2 linked regions of the Rhinolophus ferrumequinum genome follow. The protein of the gene in region 2 interacts with the protein of the main gene of each other region in a pairwise test. Links are inferred from orthologs where the notes say so. Each region holds a gene or a part of one and is shown on either strand. Other genes may lie near its edges.

Evidence for each region.
Region 1: the proteins of KHDRBS2 (region 2) and PRR3 interact in binary tests that used the Homo sapiens proteins (3 or more experiments, as listed by UniProt). The two-hybrid records come from large-scale screens. The link is inferred for Rhinolophus ferrumequinum from reciprocal best matches to the Homo sapiens genes KHDRBS2 and PRR3.

Annotation. Positions count from the first base shown.
Region 1 is NC_046286.1:1,189,656-1,201,403, forward strand, and holds the start of PRR3 (proline-rich protein 3), read left to right. Parts: upstream 1-7,213; 5' UTR 7,214-7,241; coding exon 7,242-7,461; intron 7,462-8,109; coding exon 8,110-8,172; intron 8,173-10,069; coding exon 10,070-10,252; intron 10,253-10,594; coding exon 10,595-10,882; intron 10,883-11,138; coding exon 11,139-11,245; 3' UTR 11,246-11,748. Other genes in the region: GNL1 (guanine nucleotide-binding protein-like 1), read right to left, coding at 2,785-2,979, 3,384-3,479, 3,635-3,842, 4,554-4,625, 4,743-4,894, 5,048-5,184, 5,548-5,713, 6,130-6,202.
Region 2 is NC_046286.1:26,295,270-26,306,717, forward strand, and holds the start of KHDRBS2 (KH domain-containing, RNA-binding, signal transduction-associated protein 2), read right to left. Parts: upstream 5,272-11,448; 5' UTR 4,997-5,271; coding exon 4,906-4,996; intron 1-4,905. UniProt on the Homo sapiens protein: RNA-binding protein that plays a role in the regulation of alternative splicing and influences mRNA splice site selection and exon inclusion. Binds both poly(A) and poly(U) homopolymers. Phosphorylation by PTK6 inhibits its RNA-binding ability.

The sequences.
Region 1 (11,748 bases), about 25 Mb from region 2:
CTCCGACAACCCCCACCAGCCCCATTTCTCTGTCCCCTTTGTAATGAAACTCCTTCAAAGACTTGTCTGTTTTCAGTCATCACTTCTTCATGCTATCTTTTTCATGACTATGAACTGTAACATACACAAAACGAGTAAACCATAAACGTGCCAGAGGAATCCCGTATCACCCACCCATGGGTGCAGTGTGACACGTCCTCAGAGCCCCCGTTTGTTCCTTCTTGAGCATAACCCTCTCCCTCTGCACATGTGAACCTTATCTTGAGTTGTAAGGGATTCTGTTGCTTATGTTTCTTTTTAGTTTTATGAGCTGTGTATCCCTGTGAGGACAGAGTCCCAGAGAGCAGTTTCCAGGCTCTCGGCCTCGCATGGGGGAAGAGGGAGTGCTGGCTTGGGTGTTGGTTGGCCATTGGCTGTAGCCAGTTGGCCAATTGGCTGCTGATGTAACTGCCATGACGGCACTGGTTGGTTGGTTGGTTGGCAGGCAGAAAAGCGGACGGCGGATTGTGGATCCTACTTCGTGTGTCTCGCCCGGCCGCCAGCAAGAATAGAGTGGTATGACTCCCCTACCTATGGCTCCGTGGGTGTTCCTTTTTGGCCTCGCCATATCCTGCGTTCTTATGTGGGGAGCGGAAGCAGAGACCCCACGTGAGTCCCTGCATGACAATCCCTCAATGGTGCCATTCAATTTTGCAGGTTTTGAACTTTACAAAAATGGAACTGTCTGTCTCGTGTCTCATACCACATTATGTGAGGTTCGGCCATATTGTTGTCCGTTCTCTCACTGGCCTCACTGGCCAATCTGGCTTTCTTTCTGCCACTCCACTGAAACCACTCATGTTCACACTGTCAAGTCCGCGGAGAAAGTCTCTGTTCTCCTCTCACTGGACATGTCATCAGCATTTGATACAGCTGAGCCCTCCTTTCCTCTCCAAACACCTTTTCCATTTGATGTCTGGGACACCCTCTGTTTCCTCCTCCTCTTTCCACCTACATCCCACATCTCATGCAATCCATGGCTTCAAATACCATTTACATCCACCCATGGCTCCCAAATTTAAATCTCTCCCAAATTCAAATCTCCAGTCCTCTTCCCTAAGCTCCAGGCTCCTATACCCACTGCCTATTCAACATCTCCACTGGGATATTTTTTTTAAATATCAAGTTTAGTTTCTGAATCCCCTTCCCTTCCCAGCCCCTCCAAATCTGCTCCTCTCCCAATCTTCCTATCTCGGTATCCCCAGCTGCTCATACAAAAACCTGGAAGTCCACTGAAGTAGCCTTACAACGCTCTCTCTGCTTCCTTTCTTGCCCACCCCCCACATTTATTCTCCACTCAGCAAATAAACTTCTAAATGTGGACATCAGATCTTCATTCCTCTGCTCAAAACCCACCACTGGCTTCTCATCGGACTTGGAATAAATCCCAAACACTTCCCATGACATGGTCCCTGACGACCTTTCTGACCTCCTCCTGTGCTCTCTTCAATCCTCCGTCACTCTGGCTAGGCCCACAGTCAACAAGCTCCTTCCCACCCCAAGCCCTCTCACTGACTGGCCCCTTGGCCTGGAAGACCCTTTCCCCACATCTCCAAACAGCCACTTCTCCCCATCACCCCAGGCTCTTCTAAGTCTTTCCTGGAGGACGCCTCCTCATCCACTTGTTCTCTATCCCCTTTCATTGCCCCTAAATAACATGATTTCAAATGATGAATCAATTTACTCACAAGAAGACAAGCTCCATGAGGGCAGGGACTTCCTGCCACCCTCACAGCAGCACATCCATGCCGTCCCTGGAACAGCACCTGGCACCTGCTGCTCAGCATTTGGGGGATAAATGACCAAGGGCTGGAGGGGGATCCGAACTCAGGCTGCCGGTGCCACAGACTCTCCCTGTCACACCACCTGAGCACAGTCAAGTTAGTGCACAGGCTGCTCGGAGAGGGCATACAGCCTCCTGGGAGGAACAGCAGGGTCTGAAGTCAGGGGAAGAAAGCCAGGGGGGCATGGCTGGAGAGGGAGCAATCTGTCAGCAGTCAGGCAGGTTTTGCCCAAGGCAAAAAGGAAACTGAAAGGTAAGTCAGGAGCATTTCCAACGAACTACTCTGCTCTGCTCTCCCTAATTTCTTCCAGGCTGGGCCTTTTCTGGTTCAGTGATACCTCAGTGCCACAACTTTGCCAAAGTCACTTCTCACCTCCCCCACTCAAATTAAAAGGGGCTCTGGGCCCTAATGAGACCTTCCTTTCTCCCCACCAAGAGCAGAGACAAATGTCTGCATTAAGGCAAGAGTCTCCTTGACAACAGATTTAAAGGATTCAGACCAAGAAAGAAACTAATACTTGTTAAGCTCCCCCTATGATTTCATGGCCCCTCTGCTATGGACTAATTACTCCAACTTCCAGAGTTAACACATACAAGTCACTTAGTCCAGTGCCTGGCACATAGTTAAGTACCACACAAATGTTTAGTTACTATTGCCATTATCACTGCTTGTCAGGCTTTGTTAGGCTCTCTCTTTCCTCTTCCCTTCACTCCTCACATCTGTTCTTTCACTTACGTATCAGTATTCCCATTTTAAAATCCAAAGTACTTAAAACTCAGTGGGTAAATACGTGTTCAAAATCAGTATCAACCAAGAAGAGGTGGGATTTAACTCAGGCATCCCATGGTCCTTCCACTACGGCACATGGCCTCCAGAGACCTGGAGCCTAATGACGTCTGATCAGCTCCCCTCTTTTCCAAACACGGGGGCCGCCACGCCACGCATGGCACTGCTCCCTTACCCACACAGCCGATGGTCAGCACCCCGTCCTTATAGCGCTCCCGGGCTGGGCCGGCCGGCTCCATGGCCGAGTCGGTCTGCTGCTCCACCAGCACCGCGGGCCCATCATCCTCTTCTTCCTCCTCACCGGAGCCATTCCCCCAGCTGGCCCCAGCCACATCCCGGGCAATCTTCTCCCGCCAGCTGCTCAAGTCCACTGCTCAGGGAAGAAGACAAAGAAGGTTCTCCCCAGAGCCACTGTACGTGACGGCACAGACTATACTGCACAGCTGATGGAACTGGTGCCCTCTGGAGTTGAGTAGTGCCAACCTGCACCACAGCCGACTCTCCCCAGCCTTCACTTGACACCACCCTGGAATCACATGCATTTCTCTGAGTTTTCTGAAAAGTCCTGGGAAGCCTGAAGGCAGCGACCCTGGGGCTCCTGCCGACCTGCTACCTCTCCTGTCCCACCAAGTCGGTCTGCTCCCTCTTCCACCCCTCCCCCAGCCTCTCGCCTGTGCCAGGATAGAGGAGCTGACTTCGGAAAAGGTGAGTAAAACGACTCTGGGCCTTGGGTCTCCCGATGACCTGTCACATCTCCCTCTAAGAGGCACAAACCTTTCCCTGCAGTGATGGCTTCACAGGCTCTCAGCAACTGCTCGGGCCCCAGGGCCCGAGTCCATCCTCTCCCCCGCCTCCGACTCTTCTTCAAGACTGACATCGGAGAACACAAAAGGGTTAGCACACCCCACCTGTCTCACCGCCCTTCGGTCCAAGATCTGGTGCCCCCTTGTCAACAAGCATCTCTGCTCTCCCTTTGTCCCCTGCCACCCCATCTCTCCCATGCTGCCCTCCTCACTGCCACTCACCACTACTAGAGTCCTGTGCGGTGCGGGGGTCCCGAGGGAAAGAGGTGAAAAGGACGACATGGAGCTGGGGAAAGTGTTGGTGAAAATAATGCTTCCAGGCGACCGCGAGAGCCGGCGGGGCCAGGTCCACCTTGTTCAGGACCAGCACCAGGCCCAGCCCAAGTTCTCCAGTCACGTACTCGTAAAGCGCTGGTGGGAAATTCACAACCTGGGACAGGGATGGCAAGGGAATGAGCAATGGGAGGTCACCCCAGAGTCCTCTGCCTCTAGCTCAGCAGGCACAGCTTGGAGACAAGACCCTGGAGGTGGCAGATTCTGGGGCAAAACAGGTAAATTAGCTGAATTGAACTAGGAAGACAAAGCAGAGGTAAGAAGCACCTGTGCACCTGCGCAGGCATGTGCGTGTGTGCACGCCGTTACGGATCTGCAACCTGCATATCCCCACAGACCCTCCCTTTCTCCCACTGGAGGACAACAGGAAGTGGCAGAGCGGGGTCACACAATGGCCATCCAGCAGCAGAGTCTGGAGCCTTAACCGCTACCCCAGCATTCCAGGTCAGCCTCGTGCTGACTAATGGGCAGGGCACGGGAAAGCCCCCAGCTGCTTTCATGGAAGCCCCTAGAGCTCCACTCTAGGACCTTCTGTTGGTTTAACTCTGCTGGGCTGGGAAACAGGATGTGTAGTTTTTCATCAAAAGAATAAGAGAGGAGAGTCAGTTAGCCAGGGAAGGAATGACAGTCTGGGACACTGGTGAGTAAAGGACTGAAACCCTGACTGCAGACATCAGCACGGGGTACACGAGAATGTGAAGGAAGAAGGATACCTCTTTGTCTCCCAACTCCTGCCTCTGCCCTTGACCCCACAAGAATGTCCCCCCACCCCCACCTCCGGCTTTCCCAGCCTTATCCCAGTACTCACTGGGTGTCGGATATCAGTGATAAGCAGGACAATGTCAGACATCTCTAACACTCGCCACAGCTGCCTCCACGTCTGAAAAGACAAGGTCAGCAGAAGAGAACCTGAGCCCAGAGTCCCTTTCCTGCCTGACGCCAAACCAATCTGACCCTGGGTCACTACACCCTATTCTTGTCCCCACTCCATTCTCACCTCCAGATTGTGCTCAAAGTAGCTGAGTTTCTCCAAGGTGTAAGCCCCATGAATCTTCCCAAGATATTCCTGGAAGCTCCGTTCCTCCTGGCTCATTAGTTGCTCCTTGGACATCTCATAGCTCCAAGGAGGACGTCGGGGAAAGTCCAGGACTGGGAAATCAATAAAAAGCCCAAGGGAGTCTGAGGATCGTGTCAGGACTGCAGGGTGCATCCCAAACCCCTCCTTCCTCACAGTCAGCTTTCACTCCTCCACAGCCCTTCCCCCAGCCCAGTGCCTATCACCAACAGCCAGCTCTCACCCACCTGAGCCAGGCTGGTAGACCTCCCGGATGTCCAGCTCCAGCACTTCAGCACTGACAGGCTGCAGCACTTGCTCCCGGGCTGCTCTCTTTCTCCTCTCCACCTCCTCCCGGCTGTCCCTCTCAAAATGCAGCCGGTATCTAACGGGACAAGGACCACAGCATCCATTACAATCCTGTGGCCACAAAAAGACTCCCCTCTTGGGCAGACAACTTACCAAAGCTTTCTCTCCAAGGTTGTCCTTTGAGTAGGCCCTCCTCCAACTCCCTCTTTCCCGCAATATTCAGCCTTCCCCTAAGTCTTGTACTTCTAAAAGCCAAGCTCTCTCCAGCCCCTCCGGAAGGGAAGATTGTGGCCGCTCCCTGGAGCCCAGTGCCCGCGGAGAACTGTGGCATCCCAGCCACACCACCTCCAGTTTCAAGCCAGCGGCTGCTGGCTAGCCCCCAGTGCTCTGACTTTCTGGTAGGCGGGGAAGGCCAGGCCAGTGCCCCCCGCCCACTCACCGATTTGGGTCATAGCCTCGCGGACCCAGCCCCTGGGAAGGCTGCTGGTTGAGCCTACGGATGTGATGGGTCACAGACTCCCCGTCCGAGGTGTCGGTCTGCTCCTCCCGCCGCTCCCGACTCCCGCTGCGGCTGTTGGAACTGGATCGCAGCCCATCTTGAAGCCCTGAGGGGAGGAGCCGGTGACGCCAGTGCTGCCCGGCTCTCAGGGGCCAAAAGACCCCCTCCCCGTTGGATCTGGCTTCCCCTCACCCCACCCCACTTCTTCAGAGGCCCGATTCTCCCAGCCACCCTGCTGAGGACCCTCCTAGATGTGCGTGGGGGTAGTCACTCCTCCTCCAGGGATCTGCAGGGATGTTGCCCGTTCGAGCTGGAGGGATTCCCCTCCCCCAACTCCCCATCTTTCCCCACCCCTTCCATGTAGGGGGACTGGAGTGAGGGAATCCCCTCTGCGGTCACCCGCGCGCGACGGCTCACGGCCACCACCCCCTCCCACGCCCCCCAGAGGCGCGGCGGGCACACCCCTCCTTTTAGATGTGCGGGAGCCCGAGCCCCGCCCCCTCTTCTCTCTCCCGCACTGACCTCGCTTCCGCTCCCGCTTGTCCTGCAACTGCTTCTTCTTCTGCTTCACGCTGAAGGGCTTCTTCCTCGGCATGGCCCGGACCAGTCACCTGGCCCTCCCTCCGCCGAGCTCCCGCCGCCTCAACTGACTACACCCTCCCCGGGCAGTCCCCGCCGCAAGGGCCCGGGACCCTCGAGGGGGCGGAGCTAGAAGGTGACGTCAACGGGCGGGCCCGGCCGATTTGCCCCAGTAGCTGGGCTGGAAGGAGGAAGGGGGGCGGAAATACAGTCACTTCCCTCCCGGAGCTAGGCGAGATGATGTCGGGTGGGCTCCCCGCATGTGAGAGCCGGGGGCACGGAAAGGGCGCAGCGGCCGCGAGGAAGGAGGCGCGCGTGGGAGGATCGGGCTCGCATCGTCACGGACGCTACCAACTCACGGTCGATAGAGGGGGGACGCGTGTCACCACCACCTGGCGCGTCTGGTAGAAGCTACCACTCACCTGGAGGGGGCGGTGGAGCGGGGGGCGGGTCCTACCACCTGCGGGAAAGAGAGGCGTGGACGCGCCGGAGCTGCTTTGCCTGCCCCCGGGCTTGACCTGGAGTGGAAGCCGAGGCTGCGCGCGGGGGAATGGAGCCCAGTTGCTGTTTTACACTGGGGGCAGGGTCAGAGGTCTTGAGGATTGGTGGCGGTCTGAAGCGTCCAGGACACCGCCCTGCTGGGACCCAAATTCCTGGTGGAGGATAAGAAGGAGCAGGTTTACAGATCACAGGGCAAGGGTGGGTGAGGAAGGAAGCCCTGGTGGGACAAGGACTTTGGGGGGAGGTCAGAGGTCACGAAGTTGTGCCTGCTGCTGTTACCATAGTAACCGGGAACCGGATGTGGCGATCTTAGCGTGCGACAGCCCTCTTCTCAGACCTTCCCGCCGGAGAGCCTGAGAACTGTGTTGCACACTGTGGAGCGCTGGTTGTGGAGTTTTTTTCAGCGAGGGGAGAAGAGAGGAATTTTTTAAAAACATTTATAGAAGCGCAACGAAGGGAAAGTTTGAGATTTACGCCTTCTGGCAGAAACAGAGGGTGGCAGCTTACGTGAAAATGAGCTGCACAAAGGCTCCCTGCAGCCTTCCGGAAGTTAAATGGTGGGAGCTTCAGCCTCGGGTCCACAGCCCCCACGGAAGCGGAAACAGAATCTCAGCGTGCCCCTTCCTCACCGTCTTCCAAATCCCGCTGCAGCCATTGCCGCAACCACGATGCCGAAACGAAAGAAGCAGAATCAGCAGCAGCAGCCGCCGCAGCAGCAGCTCCCACTGCTAAAGCGGGAAAAGACTGAAGACGAAGAGGATGGGATTCCCATCGGTGAGGAGCCCGGGAGGAGTGTGCACATTTCTGCCAGCGGTCGGGGCGAGGGGTTAGGGGCTGAAAAGGTGCGAGGAAGTGGGCTCCAACGGAAGGAAGAAGGGCGCACGCGCTGGGGCAGGGGGTGGAGGGCCTATCCCGGATGGAGCCTTGAAAGAGTTGAACCCTCAACTTCAATCTGGCCTCTAAACCTTTCTAAAGAAGGCAGGGGAGGACAGGATAAAGAGCTCGGCCCTAGAGAGGTTGCAGGTTGCATGACCAGGATAATTTGTGTCCAGACTTTCACAGGGAAGGTGGAAGTGTATCTTTCTCTAAACTACAGGGGCGGAGGGGAGCTATCTGGCCAATTAGAGAAGGGTTGGATTACCTCTGGATGTTTTGGGTAGCAACAGTGTCAGGGAAAGAGTCGTAGGTAGGTATTCCTCCCGCATTATCCCCCTTGACCGAGTCTCCACTTCTTGCCAATCAATCCTGAACACTTTTGCAGAGGAAAGAGCAGATAGATGGGGTGAAAACCTGTAACACAGCTGAGAATATACCTGGTTTTACTGGTTGATTTAAGAAATGAGTAATAGAATAAAAACTTAAGAATAGGATCATCAGTCCTTTAGTCCATTATGATGACCATATTTTCATGTCTACTCTTAGGACCACCCAGCCTTCTGGGCCCTCCCCCCATGGCCAATGGAAAGCCTGGTGACCCCAAGTCAGGTGAGGAGGAAGGGGCCCTGATCTTTTTATTAGGTCCTGGAAAAGGGAGCAAGAGAGGGACTAAAACCCAGGAAGGACTTAAAATCAAAAGATCAGAATTTAGTACCTAAATGAATGAAGAGATGTTGTATATTCACAGATTGGAAAACTCAGTGTTGTAAAAAATGTCGATTCTTCCCAGATTGATCTGTTGATTCAATGCATTCCCAATTATAATCCCTATTTTGTGTGTGTGTGTGTGTCTGTGTGGAAATAAACATTCAACATTATTATATGGAAATGAAAGGATCAGGGTAAGAGATTGCAAAGGCAGGCTTGAAGTGCGAGGGGTTGCTGTGAATATTAAGACTTATTGTAAAGCTATAGTGGTTGTGACGGTGTAGTGTTGGCGCAGTGGTAGACACATGAGTCAATAGAATAGCATAAAGAGTCCAGTAACAGGCCCACACATACGCGGACACTTCATTTATGATGAAGATGGAACTGACATAGTGGTCTTTTCAGTAAATAATGCTGGATTAATTGGATATTCGTGGGGGTGATGAAATTTGACCTATTCATACCATATGCAAACATCAATTCCAAGTGGACTCTAAATCTAAGTGTAGAGGTAAAGAAATAATTCTAGAAAATAAATATATTTCATGGTCTTAAAGTAGATAAGAGTTCTTAGATAGGAAACACATCAACCATAAAGGAAAGATTTATAAACTGAACTACACTAGAAAATAAAAACTTCTATTAATCAAATGACACTATTAAGAAATTAATAGGGAGCCATAGAGTAGAAAATACTCGCAACAAATGTAATCAATAAAGAGCTTGTTCTAGAATATATATAGAAGTTTTCTAGACAAACTGTTAGAAAAATGGGCAAAAGACCAGAATAGCCACCTCATAACCGCAACCTAAATGACCCAAAAAACATGAACAAGAACATTAGTCGATAAATAAATGCAAGATAAAAACATACGACTTTGAAATTGAAACGCTTGTGCACTGTTGGTGGGATTGCACGGTGGTACACAATGAAAAACAGTATGAAGGTTCCTCAAAAAATTAAAAATAGAATTATCTTATGAGCCAGCAATTCTACTCCTGGGTCTTTATCCAAAAGAATGGAAAGCAGAATCTTGAAGAGATATTTGCATGGAAGAGATTGTTCATGGCAGCACTATTCACAATAGTGGAGATGGTAGCAACCTAAATGTCTGTTGACAGATGAATAGCTAAACAAAGTGTATGTTTATACAGTGGAGTATTATTCATCCCCTCAAAAGTGAGACAGTCTTGTCACATGCTACAGCATGTATGAACCTTGAGGCCATTATGCTAAGTAAAATAAGCCAGTCACAAAAAGAAAAGTACTGTATGATTACACTTAAGTGCAGTATCTAAAGTAGTTCAATTCAGACACAAAGAAAATGGTGGTTGCCAGGGGCTGGGTGGCAGTGGAAGAGGAGTGTTGTAAGTAGCTATAGAGTTGCAGTGTTGGAAGATGAGAAAGTTCTGAAGATGTGTTGCACAACAATGTTAATTTACTTAACACTACTGAGAGGTACACTTAAAAATAGTTAAGGTGGTAAATTTAATGTTACATGTTTTACCACAAATTAAAAAACAAAAACAAAAAATACTTCACACTCAACAGAATGGCAGAAATGAAAAAGATTGATTAATACCAAGTGTTGTCAAGGCAATGAAACAACGAACTGCTGGTGGCGGTATAAATTGGTACAACCACTTTGGGAAAAGTTTAACTTTATCTATTAAACTTGAGCATACATATACGCTAGGACCCAATAATACCTCTCCTAGGTATATATACTCAACAGAAATGCATACATATGTGTAACGACATGTACAAAAATGTTTATAGCAGCATTTTTCCTTATAGCCCCAAACTGGAATCCACCCACATGTCCACCATCACTAGAATGGATAAATAAGTTGTTGTGTGTGCATGCAATGGGATACTACACTGCACTGAAAATGAACGAGCTCCTGCTACAGGCAACTTGGATGAATCTCACAAACATGATGTTGAGCGAAAGGATCCAGACACAAAAGAATGCAGACTGTATGATTCCACTTATGCAAAGTTCAAAACCAGGCAAAAACTAACCTGTGGTGCCAGAAGTCAGGACATTGGTTACCTTTGGGGAGGAGGGTGGGTGGTGGGGGAGGAGGGGCACAAGGGGGGGGTGACTTCTGAAGTGCTAATGAGGTCCTATCTCTTCACCTGGGTGGTGGAAACACAAGTATGTTTACTTTGGTGATAATTGAGTTGTGCAGTTGAAATTGGTGTATTTTTTTGTATGTATAATGTGCTTCAATAAAAAGTTTTTAAAAAATCAAGGCTTTTTTATCAGGAATAAGCTGGCCATTGATCACCTTTCCATGGCTTTCTCTCTCTCTCTAGCTCTTCACAGAGGTCCTCCAGGATCAAGGGGACCGGTGATTCCACCACTGCTGAGTCTCCCACCTCCTTCCCGGGGCAGAGGCCCGGTTTGGGGAGGCTTAGGCCCCAGGTTTGGCCCATATGGTCGTGGTTGGTGGGGGATCAATGCTGAGCCTCCTGTTCCCGGACCAAGCCATGGTCCTTCCAGGGGAGGCTTTCACAAAGAACAGAGACATCCTCGAAGGCTCAAAAGCTGGTCACTTGTCAAAAATACCTGCCCACCCAAGGATGGACCCCAGGTTAAGGAAGGTGAGGTCCATTTTTTTTATGCCTGTATACATTTAATATCCTGCACTCCCAAAGTGACCCTGACTCTTCTCTTTGGGGCTGTCCTTCTGAAGTAGGAGTAGGCCAGAATGTTTTTCTCCCCGGAGAAAGACTACCATTCTAAAATATCTGGAAATGGTAGAGAATAGGAAATCAGACCACCTTCTCTAGCTCTGCTTTCTCTTACATTTGTTTTCTTTCTTACATTTTAAATTGCCCGATTTTCGGTTATTCACAGACAAATCTGATCGCCCTGTCTGCCGACACTTTGCCAAAAGGGGCCACTGTCGATACGAGGATCTCTGTGCCTTCTACCACCCAGGCGTCAATGGACCTCCTCTGTGAGAATGTGCCTTCCCGTCCAAGCTGGAAGGAGCCCTCTGTGACCTAGCGGCCATGTGTTTGCCTGGGGCCCTGTGATGGCTCTGTGAGGTGTTCCACCCACCACCCTCAGTCAGTGACGCCTGCCCCGACCCATCACTTCCGCGTTTGGGGTCCAGAGTTGTGTTTCATCAGTGGTGCACAGTGTGCACTTTCTTCTGGTTCAGCCTCCAGGGACTCGCCTTCCGGACCCCATCTTGGCTGCCTTTAGAGGCTTCCCCTCACCAACTGACTGCTGAACAGGAAACCTATTTGGTGCTGTTTCTTGTGCATCTGTCCACCCAGCCCCCAGTATTGCCCTCAATTCCTGAGCCTTGGAGCAGTTTCCTACCATTCCCTTCTTCTAGCTGCTTGTTTGAAGTCCTTTCTATGTGACGCCCCCTACTCCTTGTGGTGTCAGCTGCTCTGTGAAACTCACCAGGTTGTCTGACCTGGGATCAAGTTTGGGTGACTGGTACAGAGTCACT
Region 2 (11,448 bases):
AAGTTTTTAGGTGGCAGGAGGTTAAAGAATGTCAGAAAAGATATATCCATTTCCCCCAAGAAAACAGGATGAAATCAGCTGCCAAGAGTAAAGGAATATGGGTTTGTGAAGAGGCCTGAGGAGGTTTGTAATTATTCTTAAACACACAGAACCAGAGCTAATCAAGCTCAAGTAAAATCAAGACAAGTAACCATTGACTAAGGGAATATGATATTTTAAAAACCCTCATTGGAATCATTTTTCGTAAGACAATGTATTTCATGATTTGGTTTATGAGTTCAAATTTCACTCAGCAGTGATTCAAAGGCAGTGCTTATTTTCTTACAAAATCAAGCTTCAAGTTGAGGTCAAGTTCACAAATGCCATTAAAATGTTAAGGAAAATCTTGAAAGCATCATCTGATATTTGTATAATTTCTTCTTATGTTTTTGTTATAGTTGAATAAAACTTCTATTTATATTTATATAAAATACTGCTTATATTATCACACACAGCATTTTTTTACCTTAATTGAACCATGCCAAGTAGATGTTAATTTGCCTGTTTTACAGATGAAGAAACTGAGAATCAGAAAGGAAATAAATGATATATCCTATATTTCATAGTAAACAGAAGTTTCAACATTCTGTGCCAAGTATTTTGTTTGCTTAAGCAGAATTTTTCCACGATTTTGTAAATGAGTTTTAATAGCAGATCAAAGATACCTTAAATTTAGTTTTTCTGACAATTTTGTTCTTTACTGAAGAAACGTAAATAAGATTATGCCAAAGATACTGAGAGGAGAAAAAAGAATTACGTTAAAGGAAAAGTCATATGAATATTACTTGATGAGAAGCTGATTTTATAGATTTTAAAGGTATTATACCAATATCTTTACTAAGCTTTATGGAAAATATTTTAAGGAACACAATCTAAATTAAAAAAAAAAATGATCCTTACTGAGAATCTAAATATAGTTAAGTCACTAGAAATCAGTATTTGTGATAAATGTTAATCCCTGTTTCTCTTGTGGTATCAAAAGTTCATCTATATCTGCATACAAGCAGGCCAATCCTAGATGGACTGCCAAGCTTTTCACCAAAATTTGAAAGTAGCACCTAGACTTTCTAAAAATAAATATTTCCACTGTTGAGATATTTGGCAATATTTCGCTTCATCATATGATGATGCAAACAAAACAATGATGAATCTACCAAAATTTGTGAAGAATTCAGGTTACCAAGTCTTGCCAATCAGAGCACCTGGAATACTCTCAATTGGACAAAAATTTATTAATCCTCCTAAAGGTATGGAATCACCATATTTGAATCTATAAATTTGAACAGATCTATGTCTGTCAGCGGACAGGCATGCTTGACAGCAAACAATAATATTTCCATATATATATATATATACATTTGTAGCCCCAAATTATTATGAAGATAATAGTTCTATCGATTTAAGAACATAAATCTGTCCTCAGTACCCAAAATAATGTATATGCATCAAATTACATTATAGTACAATATATGTATTATTAATCATTAAACTAAGAAAGAATAAAAAAAGTTTCAGCCATTGATTTTGGTCTTCTGAATACACAAATACAACTCCTTTGCATCAGCATTAGTCCCAGACTTAATTAGAATTATGGAGAAACATATAGATCATCTAGTCCAACTCCTTAACTTGTGAGACAAGGAATCTAGGTCCATGGAAGGAAAGCTTATCAAGATTCACATGGGGCAAAAGTGGAATTAAAATCCAGGTATCTGGATTCACAGTTTAGTGCACTTACCAGAAGTAGCATAGATATAAATAACCTTATCTAATTTCATCTGGCAAGCAAATTCAGAGGCTGAGTGGAACTTGAAAGATAATGCTGAGTTTGCTGTTTCATCATATGTAAAAACACCTTCCATAACAAATGGATAATTAAATATGATAATCATAGAAGGAAAATTATTTAATTTAATCAAACATATTATAAACACTCTTCAACCATACTATTCAAGATCTTTTCTAAATAGCAATCGAATTCATAAAATGTTTGGGCTCTTTCATTAGCTTTCTCAGAATCATTCCTACTGAAAACACACAGCAGCAACAACTGAAATAAAACAAACCACACACACACACACACACAAATAGCAAAATTACCAACAAAATAGTTCTTTTAAACATGGCCTCCAATTCTAAACATAATAGTAACAATAGAGCACTAATTTGCATCTATCATCAATCACAAAAGCAAAACAAATCATTGTGAAAGCTTATTGGTTTATATCACTGCATATATATATATATATATATATATATATGCAAATATATATAGTGTGCCAAATACACACACAAATATATAGGGTGCCAAAAAAATGTATACACATTTTAAGAAAGGAAAAAACTGTATTAAAAGTATAATACTTAATATATACCGATAATAAAAGATGAATACAAGTCATGTGTATACATTTTTTGGCACTCCGGTATATATATAAGCTTCCGGAAAAATCATTCCGAAGAACTGAATCATCTGGATCATTTTTATTACTCACTCAGTCTTGAGACTGTCTGCACAGTACTGACTGAAATGTACTTCAGTGTGCACCTTCCTTCCAAATGAATATCTATGTCAGGTTTATTTATAGCCACTGCCTTCAATCAGTGCATTTCCAGGTATGAGAAGGAAAATCATCTCAACAATACTCTCTCATACAGATGTGAACCAAAACCTGGAAATCTTAACAAATGGCCTTTGAAAAGGTAATGAAAGATCTATAATGTAAAATGTACATTAAGATTTATTAAAGAGTCCAAAGGATACTCACCTTACCCTCCTTAATAAGCACACATAAAAAGCCTCAGGTAATGAGAGAACGAATTTAAACTTTATGCATCTGTTTGCGTCTCTTTATACCCTTCAAGATTTTTATCATCACCTCCTCCATTCTCTTATCCTCATTATGATTTCTCTGAAATTTAGACACCTCTCTTTGTTTCTTACTTAGATTATTTTCTCTCTATTTATGAGCTTTTCCTCCTAAGGCTTTACAAAAGTAGGACATGCTTCCCCCTACTGGGAAAAAATTAAATTACAAGGTACATCTGAACATGTTCTTAAGTATCAAGAAATCAAGTTCCTAGGAAAGATAAAATGCTTAAAGAACCAGGTGCACAGCCTTCTCTGACTGTTTCACCAGTCGCAGAAATACTTTGCACTCCATTAAGACTTTCTCACATTCATTTCTTTAGCTTGGCCGTTTTAAAAAATACACTCTCATTAGTGAAAGATGAATTAATCACTGAGCCTGCTGCCCCAAAGAGAACTCCAATGAGCAGGTTACAGAAAATCATCAATTTGTAGTATACTGTTTTCATTTTAAAGATATTAATAGCTAAATGAAGATACTTCTGGAAAATATATTGAACTAAGCAATTTGAGAAGGCCTACTTGCATTTTTAATCGTTTTGAACAATCCTAAGCATTTATTAACTCATTAATTTTCCTATGTATTGATGTAATTATCTAATTTTTTAATAGAGGGAGAGTTTAATTTTTTAATTGACTTCACTTTTCTACTTTATTTGCTTTAATTCAGTAACCAAAAAAGTAGTAAGCATAATTACATTTTATCTTCCCAAATACTCTACAAAACCAACTTGTTTCTTGAAAAATAGTTTACTTGTTTCACACATTCAATATTTTGTTTATAAATTCTTTAATTGTTTACTATGAAAAAAGGAAAAACACCTACACATTATTATTGTTATAAATAATAATCTATCAATATAATCTTGAAATAGACAGAATGCCTATTTGAATCATACATGGAGGGTCAGAATTTTTCCTTCCATGTACAACTACATAAGTCTCAAAAAAGAAAACATTTATTTTAATGCTGAAGGGCTGAGGAAGAGGAAGTTGGTCACTTTTAGTTTTGCTATAGGTTAAGCCCATAGCAACCTAAGCTACAAAACTGCATTGTAGTCAAATTGATGATGAAACGATTCATTAATAATGAAGGATTAATAAAAAAAAAAAGCCTGGAGTTTTTTTTTTTTTAAGGTATGTGTATGTTAGTTACTACAGATATCATGAAAATCTTTAGCAGTCCGAAGGCGATATTTCAAGATAAATGATGCGATTTGGCTAATGTTTCTGTCATACAGAAGTTTGTGTGTGTGTGTGTGTGTGTGTGTGTGTATGTGTGTGTGTGTGTTTAAACAACCTTTCAAAGCCATGCAAAAAAACAAGACATATGTTTCTCTGGGGATGAAATCTCCATTAACACTACAGGTACACAAAAGAAAATGCACACTTGGTAAAACAGTTGATCAATTGTGGAGTGTTCCCAGGGACCAGCAACTCGCAGAGTAACCCAATCATCGCACTTCAAATAAATTGATAAGCACTTTAGCCTCTGCCACATTCACAAACATAGACGAACATGAATAGTTTAATTCTAAGCCTTTCCATAGGAAAGACTGTAATTAGACTAAAGGGTAACAGAATCACTTCCCAAATGCAGAAAAAAAAATGCTGATGTGTAACTAAGAAGCTCTTAGAATACTACATTGGTGATCATTTACTTCTAAACTGATTACCCTTTCCTCTGCGAAGTGAAAATATCCCTGTGAACCGCGTTACACTTTATGGTGTCTCTATCAATGATTCTAAAAGGTCACATCACCACTGTCATTAGATCTCCTAGCTTTGATCTTTCCCCAAATTAAAAGGAGCATTGTTGCCCGCCCCAAGAATAGGTTCTGTCCTCCCGAGCTCCGATGCTCAGTCCGCGAGCATCTTCAGGGGCACAGTTTCTGCGAAGGAGACAGTCGTCCCTCCCCAACTTCACTCCCCTTAACCAAGCCGCGGGTGCTATGGGCGGCCGGCGGTTTGTGCACATCTATAGAGGCAAGTCCTACCTTCCGCCAAAAGGCGTGATGCATGCACAAAAGATGGATCCAGGCTATCTTTCTCTGCCATCAGCTCAGGCAAATATTTCTCCTCTTCCATAGCGCGGACTTCGGACAGTCCCCGGGCGAAGCGCAAGGTTCCGCTCGCTCAGACGCAGGGTCGCCGGGCAGCGCCTGGCTCCCGCGCTGCTCTGCCTCTGCCGGGGAGAGGGGATCTCCGCGCGTCCTCACTGGCCCATGCACAGAGCACCTGCAACTCCAGCCGTCGGGCTGCACGGCCCAGCGCCCACACCTGCCCGTCCCTACCGTCGTCCCTGGATCGCGCAGTCCCGGCTCACACAAGCGGCCTTAACTGGAGAGGCGGGAACAGGACGCGTCCCACCTCTGCCAACCACTCATTGGTGGTGGTGCTATGAGAGGCGGGGCCCCCGCGAAGGCCGAGGGCTCTCATTGGGCAGAGCCGCACGTCGGATCGCCTGACTGGCAGGAGGCAGCTGTAGATGGGAGGGGGGCGCAGAAGGTGCAAACGCTTTCTTCTTGCAGACCAAGCCTTCGCTGGTTATTAGGCATGCCCAGTTGTGTGGAGCCCTCTGTGTCTTCAGCAGAGGTGCAGAGGGGGTAGAGAGCGGGAAAAGCACCCGTTAAGCAGAGAAGCTCGGGTCCAAGACGTCAGGGGAAATGGGGATGAGGAGTGCAAGGCTGAGGGGAGGGAAAGCACCAGGGAAAGTCTCAGGAAGGTAGATAGGACTTCACCTGAGTCCCTAAGGCACAGGTGTCTCCTCTCCCTCATGCGGCTCAGACGCACTCCACTGTGCAGGAATCGGCAGCGCACCCAGTCTGGAAACATAATGAAGACTGCGTTTGATCGGCGGCTTGTGTTTTCTAAGAGCCTGACCTACATCTCGGGGACGCTGTAGGATGTTCATTGATAAACAAATAAAGCGGGTCTGGGGCGATATTGTTGTAGCAATACGCTTCCAGCGTACGATCACTGGGGTATTGACTTGATTCTGGTTTTTCTCCCATCCATCCCTCCTCTCCAATCCATCCCTATCTATGGGAGGGGTTCCGGGAGAGGGCTGAATTCTACAACTGAAAAGCAACACAATTAGCCACAATTAGTGAAGGAATTAGGGAGACATGTGGTAAAAGGAAGAGACTAGTTAAACAGGTAACCCCAGTTGCTCAAATTTCCCCCTTTCTCCGTATTTTAGATGTGATAGCCTTTCACCAAGTGCCGTTGCTGAGCTAGTTTGTATCTCTCTCACTTTTATTTAAGGAGAGTCAAATGCTGCAGGTATCAACACTCGAGGCAGTTCCCATCCTTCTCTTAACAATGGGATCTGATAATGCAGCTTGCATGCTTCAATGTTACAAAACTATTGTCTCTTTTCATAAACAATCATTTTATTCAATTCGCCTCTCCCCCCACCATTTTGGTGTGAAAGAATGGGGGCTAACTTTCCTACAAAAAAGCATGCTGAAACTTTTCCAAGTTCTTAATGTAGTCAAATCTTTTCCTTATTTATTTTTCAGGATAAGGTTGGGAGATTATTTTTTACTTATGTTTTACATTTTTTATGTGACTTCACATCCATGATCTCAATTTGTCCTCAAAAAAGCACTCTGTGAAACATGGTTCAAGTATTACTTTCTGTTTTATAAATGTGGCAACTAAGGCACAGACAGACAAGTCAGTAATCCAGAAGTAACAAACATGACTTCTTTCGGCACCAGAAATTGTTCATCCTACCTGGAAGCTGAGTGTATGCTACCACAGGGCCAATGATGAGGGAGTACATGGCTAACAAATATGATCGGGTGGTTAAAAGTTCATGAAATAAACTGTGAGAACTATGACTAATTGATAATTTTATTTTTTGACAGTAGAAATGCTGCCAATCTTCAGAGAGGTGGCCAGAAGCTACTGTAGTGGAGGGTGGGTAAGATGCCAAACACAACTAATAAATTGTAAACACTTTGGAATGAGTATAAATTAGAAAATTTATTGTGCAGTAATTGTAATCACATTTTGCTTTGCATCATACCAAAAGATTAAAAGCATGTAGTGCTTATGGGGCCATGCACAAACCCAGTTTCATGAATCAAAAACATGCAGTAATTCTTGTTACGTCCGGCAACAGCAATTACATTATCTATTCATAGTCCTCTTTTCCATGATTAAAGGTGCAGAAAGAAGATACCATGGAAAGTAGTCCAAGGGTTGACTTTATTATACAATGTCTGTAGATATTCATGTCATTATAAATATGGTAAACTAGCTAGCTAACTTTTATATTCCTAATTATTACCAAAAAATATTTATAATTTTATTTTCTCAGGTAAACTCTCAGCAAACATCTAAATTTCACTTTAAAAGGGGAAATGCATTTCCAAACAGAATATGACTGAATAAAGGTGCCCTACACATACATTTATCCTACATCAGATCCCTATATTTTCAATAGCTGACTCTATCTCACCATATGTTCTCTGCTCGTTTCACATATGAATATTTTACAGTTACCACAATTACACAGTGGATATCCTCAGCACAACTTTATTAATACAAACATTTTATAAACATAAATGTAAATAAATTGAGAGCCTTCTATAGATAATTGTTGAATAGATAGTATCATATGTCTAAACATGAATAAATTATAACTACTGGTAAGCCCACCTCTTTTTCTAATGGTGTAAATAACTTAACCATATTGACCACTGAATTGATTTGTATATCTTAGGTAAAGATTTATCTCATTTTAAACATGAGTTCTAGTCCTGAAAGGTGTTTTTTTTTTGTTTTTGTTTTTGTTTTTTAATGGTATTCCATTTACTGCACTATTATTTCAACAATGGGATATTATGGAACATTTTGCTCCAACCAAACTTGGTTCTGAAGGGTCAACAAGGCATGCATTATAGACTATGTCCTATAATTAATGCACAAACTTTGTATTCAATGCTTTTACAAACCTTTATAAGAAAGGCCAGGATAAAGGGCATTTAATCAGGCTTATCATTGCACACTAACAAAAAAAAATACCCAACCTATAATATTACATAAAACACACAGTTTTTATTTCAGAGTTCTCATCAACTTTAGGGATATGTCACTAGTCTGACTACTTACTCCAAGAATTCATTAGAAGCCACTCAAATAAGAACCAAGGGTTAATAAAATTGTAACAGCCAGATCATTTACACTAAGCTTTCTAATATCCTGGTGCCTGGGACAGAGTATAATGAAGGACTAAAATATTGAATGACTCATTTTCATCTACTAAAGAGTCTGACAGAGTCCATTACATAGGTGTTTTTTAATGTTTCGATTTATTTTAGTTTCACTAACTGAACAAGTGAAATTGCTCCAGCTTCTTTTATAACTTTTATGATATATTTTAGGGTTGCAAGTAGAAAAGAAGAGAATTAGGACTTGGCTGTGCCAACAACCAATAGCAACAGTAGCACATGCAGTGAGAAATCTCTCATAGGTAATGAGTTCAGAGCCAAAATTTATGCTATATGCTAATACGCTACAGCACAAAATGAATATTCACTACTCAAAGCTGGTATTTATACACACACACATATATATGTATAGAACTTTTTTCATATATACATATGAAAGTTTTCTGATTGGAAAAGTTTTTTTAATTATCATATTGAATTTTAACAGACACAAATGTATAATTCAAGGAGAGCAGAAGAGAGAGAAAGGACTGATATTGGTTGAAAGCCTACTAGTATTTTGTTTGGAATATTGCTATTCTGAATCTTCACAAATATAAGACAGGAAGGCCAAGAAAAAAGCTGTTCCTATTCTAAAGTGGCCTAACAACTCAAATAAACCATTTCTGATGTGGAAATTATCTCTGTTTGGAAAACTGACAAAGTTCATCTTGTTATACATCTCTATGGACAATCACTGCACTAACACATTTTGGTTGACGTTGATAGCCGCTGAGGAACAGTTACTGCATTACAGAAAAGGCGAATGAAGTGATTGTTTCAAGGTGAAAGTTATTGACTGTCTTCTTCAAATTAAATCCTTGAATTGTTGAATTGTAGCTCACATATTGATTATTACTGGAGATCAATATATTAAGGTGAAAAATCACATCAGTAAAATATAATGTTTTCATGCACAGCAAATGAAGACCTGAGCTCTGTTGTATTCAGTATAAAATAAATAGATGAAGGCTAAGGAATGATGTAATAAAAACAATCTTCAAGGACACGAAAACTTTTGCCACAGAGGCAGATGTATAAGCAGTCGTTTTATATCATGACTAAAACAAGGGAAGAAAGAGTGGATTGAATTTCAGTTGTATTAGTTTTTAAACATTCATGGAAAGAACCGTTAATATTGGAATAGTGTTTTAAGAGACCACCATCACATAAAAGGCTTTAAAATACTGCAGATACTTGCTATAATTTTTTTTATTATTCTGATCTTTCACATTAAATGATATTGCCGTGCAGGAAACAATCACTGTGAAATCCTACTGTATAAAACAGTTATTACAAAGTAAGTACAAGCCATTTGAAGAGAATGGTAATGAAATTAGAAAACACAGTTCCAGAGACAAGATTTTATCAGCCCAACAGTGAAGAGAGAACAAAATAAAAAAATCAGAGATATAGACATTTTGTAAGATATTGGGTGATAGATTACCACGACCAACCAGGAAAGAGCTAATAAATACCATGAATATTATCTCAATACATGAAAACTGAACATAAAGTATAATCCTAGATTAAATCCTGGGCCAGATTTTGTTTTTATTTTATTTGTTTCTACATACTATAAAGGACAGTAATGGGATAATTGGAAAAATGTGATAAGGTCTATAGTTTTAGTTCACTGATTTTGCTAACTGTATTGTGATTATATAAATGAGTGTCTATGTTTTTAAAAATACAAAATTAAGTATTTAAGGGGGAAAGGGATATCATGTCTGCAACTTACTCTCAAATAATTAAGAAAAAATATATTTATATACAGAGGAAGAGAAAGAAAGAGACATAGAAACAGAAAAAGATGATACAGCAAATATGGTGAAATATTAACATTTGTATAAATTAGATGAAGGGAGTTTTAGATTATCCTATCTTCTTTTCACACCTTTTCCATAAATCTATAACTGCTTTAAAATTTTTTTAAAACTTTAAAAAATCTAGATATTACCTAAAATAACCTCAAAATATTTTATCCAAACCTTGGTTTACTAGTTAGCGATGGAGAGCATAAGCCCATACTTTTATTATGAGACCTATATTATAGCATGCATTGAAATCACAAATTTGGCCACTAATTACCAAATATGTTCTTAATAACTTTAAAAATCTCACTGAAAAAGCAAATATATTACCTACTTATCTCTCTTTTTCCCTAAACAAACATATAATACAAATAATTATGTTGGTTTACTTATTTCCTTTAAAAATAAAATTTTCAGCAATTTACTACAGAATTAGCCATTTTTAGAGAATTTTTTTAAATGAACTATAGGAATAAAAAAATTTATTTTGAATAGATACTAGTATTAACTGTAGCTCTATTTTAATGGTATGGAAGGAAAATGAGAAGAAACTGTTTAGTGTTCATGCATCCTGTGTATAATTGTAGATTTTGACCATTTCATAACATCCCTGTATTTCTGTTTTTACCCTGTGTCTTCTAAGTACTTTTATCCAGTTTATTGGACACCGTAGACAAAGTGCATGCTTCTTTATATCATAATGTGTTCTGCATGCTCCTAAATGCATTTAGTTGCCTGGTTCAAAAACTAAGGGGAAAATGGAAGTAATGGAACATGGTGACAAACGTTGTATGGTACAAGTTGTGGCACATGTTTAGGAGCAGTACATGTTGCCATCTTACTATGGCAAAACTTTGGGAACAGTCACCCCCCCATCATAAAAACACTCAGAAAACTAGGAATAGAAAGAACTTTACGAATATGATAAAAGATAAAAGGTATGAAAAAACAAAAGCTAATATCATAATGAAGGGCGAAAGATTAAACACCCACTAAGATCAGGAAGAAGACAAGTCTGTTGGCTTTCACCACTTCTATTCAACTTAATATTGGAAGCTCTAGTCAGAGCAATTAGGCAAGAATAACAATAAAGGACATTCAAATTTGAAAGGAAGAAGTTAAATGTATATTTATTCATGGATACATGACCCCACATGTAGAAAATCCCAAATAATACATAGCAAACTACTATTAAATTGGTGCAAAGAGGAAAAACTGAGGGTTGCTAGATGGGCGGTGGGGGTGGGGGTAAGGGGGAAGGTGAGGGGATTATAAACAATCAGTAACGACAAGATAGTCATGGGGTTTTGAAAATTAATCTGGGGAACATAATTTAGTGGTTACCAGAGGGTAAGGGGGTTGGGGGGTGGGAGATGAGGGTAAGGGGGATCAAATATATGGTGATGGAAGGAGAACTGACTCTGGGTGGTGAACACACAATGTAATTTATAGATGATGTGATACAGAATTGTACACCTGAAATCTATGTAATTTTACTAACAAT